Linked DNA regions of Yarrowia lipolytica. The protein of the gene in region 1 interacts with the protein of each later gene in a pairwise test. Links are inferred from orthologs where the notes say so. Each region holds a gene or a part of one and is shown on either strand. Other genes may lie near its edges. The genes, in order: YALI1_D13611g and YALI1_B09266g.

Evidence for each region.
Region 2: the proteins of YALI1_D13611g (region 1) and YALI1_B09266g interact in a two-hybrid assay, tested with the Saccharomyces cerevisiae proteins (3 studies listed by BioGRID). The link is inferred for Yarrowia lipolytica from reciprocal best matches to the Saccharomyces cerevisiae genes BNI1 and PFY1.

Annotation. Positions count from the first base shown.
Region 1 is NC_090773.1:1,359,236-1,367,157, forward strand, and holds YALI1_D13611g (uncharacterized protein), read left to right. Parts: upstream 1-1,875; coding exon 1,876-7,584; downstream 7,585-7,922. Other genes in the region: YALI1_D13574g (uncharacterized protein), read left to right, coding at 1-563. UniProt on the Saccharomyces cerevisiae protein: Required for the assembly of F-actin structures, such as actin cables and stress fibers. Nucleates actin filaments. Binds to the barbed end of the actin filament and acts as a leaky capper, slowing both polymerization and depolymerization.
Region 2 is NC_090771.1:924,690-927,908, forward strand, and holds YALI1_B09266g (uncharacterized protein), read left to right. Parts: upstream 1-1,997; coding exon 1,998-2,010; intron 2,011-2,077; coding exon 2,078-2,445; downstream 2,446-3,219. Other genes in the region: YALI1_B09258g (uncharacterized protein), read right to left, coding at 222-1,139; YALI1_B09279g (uncharacterized protein), read right to left, coding at 3,003-3,219. UniProt on the Saccharomyces cerevisiae protein: Binds to actin and affects the structure of the cytoskeleton. At high concentrations, profilin prevents the polymerization of actin, whereas it enhances it at low concentrations. By binding to PIP2, it inhibits the formation of IP3 and DG.

The DNA.
Region 1 (7,922 bases):
GTGTTCCCTTTGACATGATGCCTTCTCTATTTATTCCTACTTGCATGAACTGTTCTGAGTCGTTCCCGCAACCGCTCAAGGGTCTCCAGAGCGGCTTTTCGGCCACTGTCAACTGTCGGGTGTGCCATATTCGCATGACGGTTCGAATCCCCCAGTGCACATTTGAGGTGATTGACGATTATGCAATCCCTGCCGACCGTCTGAAGAAGGTGCATGTTCGCAAGCGTGCCAAGGAGAATCTGGGGATTAAGATTGGCGAGCCTCTTCCTAACGAGGGCACCTGTCGCCACTACAAAAAGTCGCACCGATGGCTCCGGTTTTCGTGCTGTGGCAAGGTATTCCCCTGTGACAAGTGCCACGATGACATAAGCATGCATGTTGCCGAACATGCCAACCGAATGCTTTGTGGAGCCTGCAGTCGAGAGCAGACCATTACCAAGGAGTGTGATTCGTGTGGATACTCCTATGTTCCTCGTCACAGTGCCCATTGGGAAGGTGGTAAGGGCATGCGGGACCAGACCCGAATGTCCAAGAAGGACAGTCGAAAGTACAAGCGACTGTAGCGATAGTCATTTGCATTCTACGTACATTAGTATTGTATGTACATTAGTATTTAATTCTCAGACTTAGTACCGCTACTTGTAGCTACTGCATTAGTATTTATCATCAACCCTGCTGTACTTGTACTCTACCAATATCAATATCGGTTTAGACTGGGCACGTGAGCTTCCTAATGCAACGGTTCCAGATGCGTCGATCCAATTTCGAGGTTGTGAAATCTCCGCAGATCGATTAGGGGGTAGATTGAAGCGACGTATTGCTTTTGGCGAGCATCCGAGGATCAGGCTGAAGCGATTATGTCGATGCTATATATAGACTATTTACCCCTGGCTGGGGGGATTCAAGGACGTTTATACGGAGATGGAAGAACGGCTGGATCCTGTTTCCCCCCAGTGAGACAGCGACGGGGGTTCCATGGGCACTTCACGTGACCATGGCAGTCCTATGGCCCTATCTCTGGCGCCCCCCTGGCGTAGTAGTGCATATAATACTGGGTCTCCCTTCTCTACCTGACCCGATCTTATGCACCCCTATGTACTGTGCCGGAGTTAATGGTGGGATGCGGTGAGGTACAGGCGAGATCCTCCAGGGTACCCTGGTATCCTATGTAGTGTATGGCATGTTGTATGTGGTCTAGGTGTGCAATATTGCTAGTTTCGAGCGGTGCTATCTTCCTACCACCCCATTTATCCTACTATTGCTGTCGTCAAAGGGGTCTATAACTACTTTGTCGGCACAATACCAAGCTTAGTGGGCTAGTGGGTTGGTGGGTCAGAGGGTGAACTCTATGGTGGACAGTTGGGCGTGTGAATTGGAGGTGAGGCGCGAAAAAAAAACGGTTGCAGAGTGGGGAGCAACACGGTCAGCTTAGGCCCAGTTAACACGTGGTCTTGTGTACTGCGGGGAGGGTATCAGGGGCCGGTCAAGTTTGCTCCTTCCTAAAGGGAGTATGATTCTGAGACGTCAAGCTCTCTCTCTCTCTCTCTCTCCCTCTCTCTCTCTACTTGCACTTTGTCCGTATATCTCCCAACTCCGTTCTTCGCTACTCGCAGTGCGACTCTGTTGCGCCATTTCGTATCCCTTCTAATAGTTTAACTCTAGCAGCCATCACTCGTGTCTGCAAGACAACCCAAATCCACAGGCACCCAATTCAGAACGTGTGGATCACCGTCTTGCTAACGGATACACAGACCAGCACTATTACGAGACTTAGAGCTGCGACACGAGCGAGGGAGAGAAAGCGATACTGCGACACACACCAGTGACACACACACACACAGTGACATTCGGTATTTAGTGGAGGGTGAGTGAACAATGGAGGTGGCGAGCGGGGGAGGGGGACGAGGGACCAGTGGAGCAAGACCACCGCGGACAGCAGCTGAAGATACACAAAAGAGTGCAATTCCAAGAATCATATGTCCACGGTGGTCGCAAAGGATCCACACAGCCACCCGGGACGTGTACCATATGGCGCTCACTCCTGATGCTAACACAGATATGAAACGAAACGAGGCAAAGAAACACGACATTTCTGGCCCTCTGCCAGACTCGGCGTCCATCCGAAGCAGTACAGCGGGAAAGCTCCAGTCGGTAACTCAGGGCCTGGGCCTGCGAAAGCTGTCCAAACAGAACTCGGTGCGGTCCCTGGGATCAGACACGTCATCCATCTACTCCCACAACGATCCCGACGGCGGAAACTTGCATACCATACCGACCAACTCGTCGGCGTTCTCGTCGTTGGCCTACGACAGCATCTCGCAAAAGTCCAACAAGCCCATCCACGTGCCGTATCTGCCCGCAGCAGGTGATAATGCGTCTGGATCGGGGTTTGTACCCCAGAACATCTCGGCGCCCATTCCACCGCTGCCACAGCAACAGCACCATGGCTCGCTACACAGTCTGCCCAACATGTTGAAGACGGGCCACAGACGAAAGTCGTCCATGTCCTCACACGACACCTCTTCGACCGAGGCAGAATCGACACTCAGCGGAGGATCACGGCCGCCCAGCATCAATAGCGCAAGAGAGTCAAGCATCTCGTTGGCCCGAATGGACCTGGAACACCCTCCGGACGAGGCAACCATCCACCAGCTGTATATGCAGCTCATGAACAAGCGAGACTTCAAGAACCTGCCAGAGGAAGCACGACGACAGATGATCAGCTATCCCACCGACAAAAAGTGGACGCTCATTGTCCAGGACCATCTGGCCGACCATCAAAAAGGACGACTGCGACAGAGTCACCATACACCCCATCTTCCCACACCATCACAGTCCAACAACTCACATTCACCTGAGTTCTACGTGCGCAAGATTCTTGACAATACCATCACATCCAAGCAGCTGGGCAACCTTTGGGTTTCACTGCGAACTGAGCCTGTTGACTGGGTCAGAGATTTTATTGATGCCCAGGGGCAGGTCGCTCTGGCTGCATGGCTCCAGCAGATCAACTCGCGAACCAATAACAGCGAGGGCTTCCTGGACAGAGAGTACGACATTGTGCGATGTCTTAAGGCGTTGCTCAACCTGCGAGATGGTGCCGACCACGCTGTTCGAACTTCCAAGTGCGTGGCACCCATTGTCAGATCTTTGGTGTCCCCACGACTGAGTACACGGAAGTTGGTGACAGACGTTCTGACGTTCCTGGCACATTGGGACGCACCTAAAGGCCATGACCAGGTTCTGGCGGGTCTTTCACAGCTCAAACAGCACCTCAATGAGGTGTCCCGATTCGACGCATGGTTCAGCGTGGTGGAACAGACATTAGCTGGCCGAGGGAAGTTTGGCTCTCTTGTTGGGGCATCGGACGATCTTCGGTCCGGAGGAGTTTCTATTGAGTCCCTACTTATGGAATACTCCCTAGCCACCATGTTCCTGATCAACATTCTCATTCAGGGCGTAGAGGACATTCGGGTGCGAGTCCACCTGCGATCCCAGATGAAGGCCTGCGGCTTGCCTCGTATTGCAGCTCGGATGCAGGCACTCAACTATGATCTGCTTACCGAGCAGCTGCAGAAGTACGACGAGCAGGCTGCACTGGACTTTGAGGATTTGGTTGCTCTTGATCGCCAAGCCAATGTGGGCGACATGACTGACCCTGTGGCGATAGCCGAGGAGATTTGGAGCCGTGTGGAGCACACGCAGGGCGAGGGCCACTTTGTGTCGATCATGCAACACCTGCTGCTGATTCGAGAAGACCCTCGAGAGGACGGAGCTCGTATGCTGCAGCTGGTGGATGCTGTGGTGACCCATCTGGTGATGGATAGAATCATGCCAGACGTTGATTTCCGCTCGGTGGTCAACTTCTCGGTGCAGTCACTTTTGGGTAAGCTACACACTGACGACCAAGCACGGAGGGCGATACTCGAAGCAAAGGAGGCTCTACGGGATGTGGAGATAGCCGAGGCTGAGAAGATGCGCATGGAGGAACAACTGCAACAGGGCTCGGATGGAGTCATCAGCAAGCTGCACCAGACGCTGGAGGAGATGGAGCACAATGCGCGAATCTCTCGGCGCCAGAACGATGCTCTGCGATCCGAGCTTGAGGACGCACGTGAACAGTCGCTAGTCAAGCTGCAGGAGCAGGAGCTGGAGATTCGAGAGCTTTATATGATGCTCAAGGAGCGAGAGGTTGCGGCGGCCGACACGTCCATGGTCAGCACCGAGGGCGGAAAGTCGCAAGGCATCATTGATCGACAGCGAATGCTGCAACGTCTGGAGCAGCAGGTGCATCAGAAGACTGCCGAGTACGGTTCATTGTCAGTTGGCCGCAACCAGGTGGAACCTTCTCCTCGTCTGCGAGAGCTGCGAGACCGAATGGAGGCCCTTCAGCTTCAGGCACGTGAACTTGAGAGCTACGACTTTGACGAAGATGAGTTTGATACCGAGGAGCCCGATGCTTCAACACCTGCTCTCACCAAGGAGGATCTGTATGCTCGTCGACTCGAAAAACTGGAGCGGCTAAAGAAGCTCCAGGAGGCCTCGGGCGAGCTGGCGCTGTCGTTCAACGCAGCAGATGTCTCCAAGCAGGATCTATACGAGCGACGATTGCAGCAGGTTGAGCGGCTGCGACGTCTTCAGGAGGCTTCTGGCGATGTGGCTCTGGCCATGAACGACCCCGGTATTCAGCTTTCTGCGGAGGAGATTGAACTCATTGAGCGGCATCGACGCGGTGAGAAGCAGCAGCAGGGCCAGCCCCAGGCTGCCACAGCTACCCTTGTGGAAATTAGAAAGCCCAAGGCTGTTGCTGGGGACGGGAGTGGAGGTGGAGATGGTATCGGGTCTGGCTCAGGTACTGGAAGTGGCAATGGCACTGGAAACGGTCCTGATGCTGCCACCATGCCTTCTATTCACGACAGACCCAGTGCTCTACCGTTTGCCAACGAGCTTGTGGCCAAATTCAAGGGTGGCAAGGGTGGTGATGGTCATGGCGATATCGATAGTGCGGATGAGGATGCAGGCGACTCCTCTGTTACACGGGTCAAAAAGGAGACCAAGACAGAGCCTGAAGACGTGGTCATCGAAATTGACGACGAGCCTGAGGCTAAGAAGGAGAAAGAAAATGCACATTCGCCAGTCAAGTTTACTGGCGGACCTCCGCCTCCGCCTCCTCCGCCTCCTCCTCCCATGTTCACTGGAGGACCTCCTCCCATGTTCACTGGAGGACCTCCTCCGCCTCCACCACCTCCTCCGCCTGGCTTTACAGGTGGTCCTCCTCCGCCTGGCTTTACAGGTGGTCCTCCTCCGCCTGGCTTTACAGGTGGTCCTCCTCCGCCTCCTCCTCCGCCTCCTCTGCCTCCTGGCTTCACAGGTGGACCTCCTCCTCCTGCTCCGGCGTTTGTTGCTGGTGCGACGCCCTCGCCGTCTCCTTCTCCCCAGCTTCCTTCAGGTTTCGAAACACCCATCGGACGGCCCAAGCGAAAGCTCAAGCAGATGCACTGGGAGAAGCTGGAGAACGTGGAGCATACCTTCTGGGCGCAGCTGTCTTCTGGCGATGTAGAGGCTGACCTGTACAAGAAGGGCATTTTCGACGAGGTAGAGCGAATCTTTGCGGCCAAGGAGGCAAAGAAGATGATTGGAAAGCGGGGCGCCAAGGAGGGCGACTTTGAGAAGCTTTCTGTGATTGCACGAGACCTGTCTCAGCAGATCGGTATCAATTTCCACACCTTCAACGACCTGGGTGTTCCCGAAATTGTCTCCGAGCTCATGTCTGTGTCCCGACGGGTCCGAAACCCCGTTCTCCTCGAGTTCTTGCTTAAGGACGAGGTTCTGGAGATCCCCAACAGTGTGACTCGTCAGCTTACGCCTTACTCTACTCGGTTCGAGGATGGTGAGGTGCGTGAGCCCGAGAAGAATGTGGAAGACCTGGAGCGGAACGACCAGATCTACTTGCAGACGGTGTTTGATCTCCAGCACTACTGGCGACAGCGAACGCGGGCAATCTTGATGACGTGCACATTTGAGAAGGAATACAGTGATCTGGTGACCAAGCTAACGTCTGTGGACGCTGCGTGTGAAACTCTCAAGAATTCAGAAATGCTGCGCCGAATCTTCCTCATCATCCTGTCTGTGGGTAACTACATGAACGACGCCAACAAGCAGGCCACAGGCTTCAAGTTGGCAACTCTGCAGCGTCTCATCTTCACCAAGGACGAGAAGAACACAATAACCTTTTTGCATTACGTCGAGCAGCTGGTTCGAAACTCGTTCCCTGAGGTGGACTCTTTCATTGACGAGCTTGCTCCCGTGTGCGCCATTGAGCGTCTCTCTGTGGAGCACCTGCAGAACGACTGCAGAGACTACATGCAGAACATCTCCAACATTCAGACTTCATTGGACGTTGGAGCTCTTTCGGACCCGAAGCGGCTGCATCCTCGAGACCGCATCATCACACACATGCATCTGCACATGGACTCAGCTCGTCGGAAGCGCAACTTTCTGCAGGATCATTTGCAAACTACTCTTGCCGAATTCTCCCAGATCATGCGCTTCTTCGGTGAAGATCCTGGTGACATGCAGTCTCAAAGCACCTTCTTTGGCAAGTTTGTTGCCTTTGTGAAGGAGTACCGAAAGGCCAAGGATGAGAACCTGCATCGAGAGGAGGAGAATCGAATCTACGAAGCTCGAAAGCAGCGTGCATTGGCGAGTCGAAAGGCTGCTGAGGATGCTGCCGCTGCGGCTGCCGAGTCTGGAGAGAACCTAGTCATGGATGATCTGCTGGAAAGACTTCGAAAGTCTTCTCATGGTGCTCGGTCAGCTCGTCGACGAGCTGCAGCCCGCAAGAACCAGGATGCTTCCTCCAAATTGTACCAGGAGAACCTCATTGAGGATGCTGACGACTACGACAAGTCCATCATCATTGAGGGTGACACCACCGAGATCCGGGAGGGTTCTCCAAATGCCGATGCTGACACAACAGAAGTGCAACCCGCAAGAGATGACGAAGCAGACACGGAAGCTCCAGCAGTAGCGCCGTCATCACGTACGTCTACTCGCCTGTCTGTTGATGTGTCTCGTGGTGACGTGCCAGAGGGGGTTTCGACACCTCGAACTCCTCATGAGACAGAAGACGCTCACACACCTGATAGAGCTGTTCCTGAGGTGGCAGTTACCACTCCCAACGACGACGACGACGATGACGTTGGTACCCGTGCGCAGAACCTGCTGCAGGCTCTGCGGTCTGGAGGAGCATCTCCTCGAGGCCATCGAAGCACAGGATCCGTTGGAAGCATGTCTCAAGGCCGACTAGCAGAGATGCGAGCCCGAAAGGCTAACCGACTGCGAAACAAAATGTCGATTGGCTCCGACTCGGACCTGGGTCCTCACCTGTCGCCTTCGGCGACCAACCGGTCGCCCAGCGCAGCGGAGAAGATCAAGGTAGAGGAGGATATTGAGGCGGAGAGGCGAGACAGTGCGGAGCCCGAAACTGAGATAGAGTCGTCCGAGGAACCCGATTCTCCCACCCCCCGGCGACCAGGTACGGCTTCGTCCCAATCTTCCAGATACACAAATGATGAAGAGTAAAACTACACGATTACATAAACAATGCATGATTGACTAATGAGAGAAATGTTTCCATGGATATATGAAGTTGCAGTCGATGTAATCATGGAGATAGTTACAGTTCGAGTAGAGTACGTACAAGTACCTATACATACTTGTAGCCGAAGATAAAAAAATCTTGACATTTTGTATTGGGGAAGGGTATGTCATGAGTCCAGCACCCAAGTACATACAGTACTCGTAGATGAATGGCTTGTTTCTTACTTCAACTTGTTTCATAAACAGGGCTGATAGCCTGCTGGATAGGTTAAAAAGTTGCAGTTGTACTCGCAGTACAAGTACACTACTTACTTGTAGGT
Region 2 (3,219 bases), on another chromosome or scaffold:
GACTCTGTCTAGCACAGTACAGTCTACCAATAAAACAATCATGTCCCCATACCACATCCAAGCAGGGATAACACGTTGCCTACGCACACAAACAAACACTCTCTCGATGAGATACGGTCTCCTCCTACCTGCATATCCACACCTTTGCCAGACTATCTAACCAACACCCCTACCCTCCACGCGGTATATAATGAAACATGTTAGAAATCTATATCCATATCCTACTCGGACTCGTCATCCTGGTCCTCTGAGTTCTCCTCAGACTCGGGCTTTCCCTCAGACTCGGCCTCAGACTCGTCGACAAACTCCTCGGAGTCAGACTCCTCCTCCTTTGTCTGCTTCTCGTCAGCAGTTCTCTTAATCTCCATCTGGGGCTCCCCAGAGTCATCAGAGTCATCGTCGTCGCTGTCGTCGTCGTCGTCGTCGTCTTCTTCATCTTCTTCATCATCATCACTCTCCTCCTCCTCAACCTTGGCCTTCTTGGGGGCCTTTTCCAAAAACTCGTCGTCCTCGTCGTCCCCCTTGACCTCCTCATCGGCGCCAGCCTCACGCTTCTTCTTGCTCTTCTTGGTGGTGGCAACCTGCTCGGCCCGCTCGAGATCCACGTCCAGCTCGCCGTTTTTGATCTGCTCGGCAAACTCCGCCCGCATCTTCTCACGCTGCTTGGACGACTCGGCAGTCTCATCCACAGCACCATTGGGATACAGAGAAATGTACTTGATGTCGTTGGGGAAATGGATCGTGTAGGCCAGGTCGGCCATGTACTTGACCACCAGAGCCTCGGCGTCCTTCTTCTTGGCATCCGAATCGGCCTGCTCCACCAGCTTGCGAGCCTGCTTGACCTTTCGCGACGCCTTTTGCCGCTCAAAGAACCTAATCATCCGGTACTTTTCAACGTTCTTCTTGTTCTTTCGGTCGCCAATAATGTCCTCGGCCTGCACCTTGTACGCCGCCACCGCCCGCTCCAGCTCGATTCGCTTCTGCTCGTCCATAGGAACCGGCCGCTTGAGCACCCGCTCCAGGTCTCTGATTCGCTTCATGATACGCGTCAGACCGTCGCCTGTCTTGGCTCCGCCCACCTCTCGCGGTCCTCGTCGCTTTCGGTTGTTTGTGTATCGTCTTTGTGTCGGAGGGGCCATGTTGTGCGCGGAACTCTGGTGCAACTTCAGTGCCCTACAAAAATATCCTTGTACAGTTCCCAGTGCATGCAAATATTTTAAGGTTTGGGACCAATGGAGATAACGGAGTTAGCCCTTCATATCCGGACATTCCATGCAGACACACGCCTGTCCGGTGGCCAGGGGAACTCGAAAATGCAATACTATTATAGAAAAGCCTCGAAGACTCAGGGGTGCATCAACGAGGCGGCAGATGAGATGTTTGATCGGGGCGAATCCGCCATCTTGCCAACCATGGAGATATCTACCTCCTTATTAGCCATACTACGACTCAGCAATTTTGCAAGTTTCACTCAGGCTAATTACTACTACAAGTAGTAGGTACAAGTACATAGTTCACCGCACCCGCACTGAACTGTTAGGATTCCAGCTCTCCCACTCGTGGTAATTAGTTCCAATCCCACGGCCGCCAAACTGACTCAGACTCGAACTCAGACGCCACTAGACGTGGAATTAGACCGGGTCTAGAGGATAGAGCAGAGACATGGTTGGAGCAAGGAGGAAGACCCGTACATGTCAAAACAGAGTAGCAACCAGAACGAAAGACGGAGGGAGGAGGGTCCACGTGGGGGGGGGGGCGCGGGCGCGGCGCGGGGGGAAGACGTCACGTCTCGTCACGTGTCTACGACCCCCCCCTCCTCCAATTAATCACACCACAAACCCAAACCAATCCATCTTGTCTCCTTACTTGTTCACTCCCCCCCCAAGGTTACCCTACCGCCAGATCACGCACGTCCAAGTGTACATATCTGTAGCTGCTCCTAACACGACATCTCATCTTATACTCACTACCAAACAACACACACAACACACGAAAACATGTCTTGGCAAGGTGAGCAGCTAACGGCACGCTGAGCGGGCGCAATTCGCTTCCCCCCCCCACAGCAACACTAACACAGCTTACGTTGACAACCTGGTTGGATCTGGCAAGGTCGATAAGGCCGCCATTTTCTCCCGAGCCGGTGACTCCGTCTGGTGCACCACCTCGGGCTTCTCCGTGGCCCCCGCCGAGGTCTTGGAGCTGGCCAAGGGCTTCGACGACCCCTCTCCTCTGCAGGCTGGCGGTCTGCACATTGCTGGCCAGAAGTACTTCCTTCTGCGAGCCGACGACCGATCCATCTACGGAAAGCACGAGCAGTCCGGCATTATCGCCGTGCGAACCGGCCAGGCCATCATTGTGGGCCACTACCCCGAGGGCGTGCAGCCCGGAGAGGCCACCAAGGTCGTTGAGGCTCTGGGAGATTATCTCATCAATGCTAACTATTAGTGAATGATATTGAATGATTGGAAGTGACGACTGACGACATGTGGAGGGTGGGACATGCGAGCGGGAGGACAGGCGACAGTTGCAATTGAACCTGCAGAAATGATCCAGACTCCATACAGTTGACATCTGGTCCCGCTTGTCCTCTTCACGTCACGTGTCCTTTGTAGGAGAGGTGACGTTGTAGTCACTGTATTACAGTACATACAGTGCAATACAGGTACAATTGTACTGGTACTTGTAACTAACAGTACCGTGTAATGTAATTGCTGGTCGTAGCACACCGGCCCCCTTCACGTGACCATCTCCGTTTCCAATGCTCTTCCCCATCCGCGTAGTGCTCGATTGCCACTGCGCAAGGTAGTAATTAACTCAATTGGCGATGACGAGATCAGCAACGGAATTTGGAGAGGGTAATATGGAGATAATATCTACGTCATAATAAGAGATCCAAGGCAAACGACACCGGCCTCTACGAACAAGCACCATATCTATACATCTATGCAACTACTTGACCTGGATCCACCCAATACCCCGTATACCGAGTCCGGTATGGCAACTTAGACGGGGAGAATTCGGACTCCAGCAAGTCGGTCAATGACGGGAGCCACGGCGGGGTGGCGGAGAATAGGCCCAATGACGGGCATGGACCGTAGAAACGCGACAATGACGGCGAAAAAGTCGCCAAATAGCGCCAGAATGCCCACCAGCTCGATAGCAAAGCCAATGAAGGGCCGTTTGATGAGAATGAGGAAAATTCCCAGCCCAAACGCTATC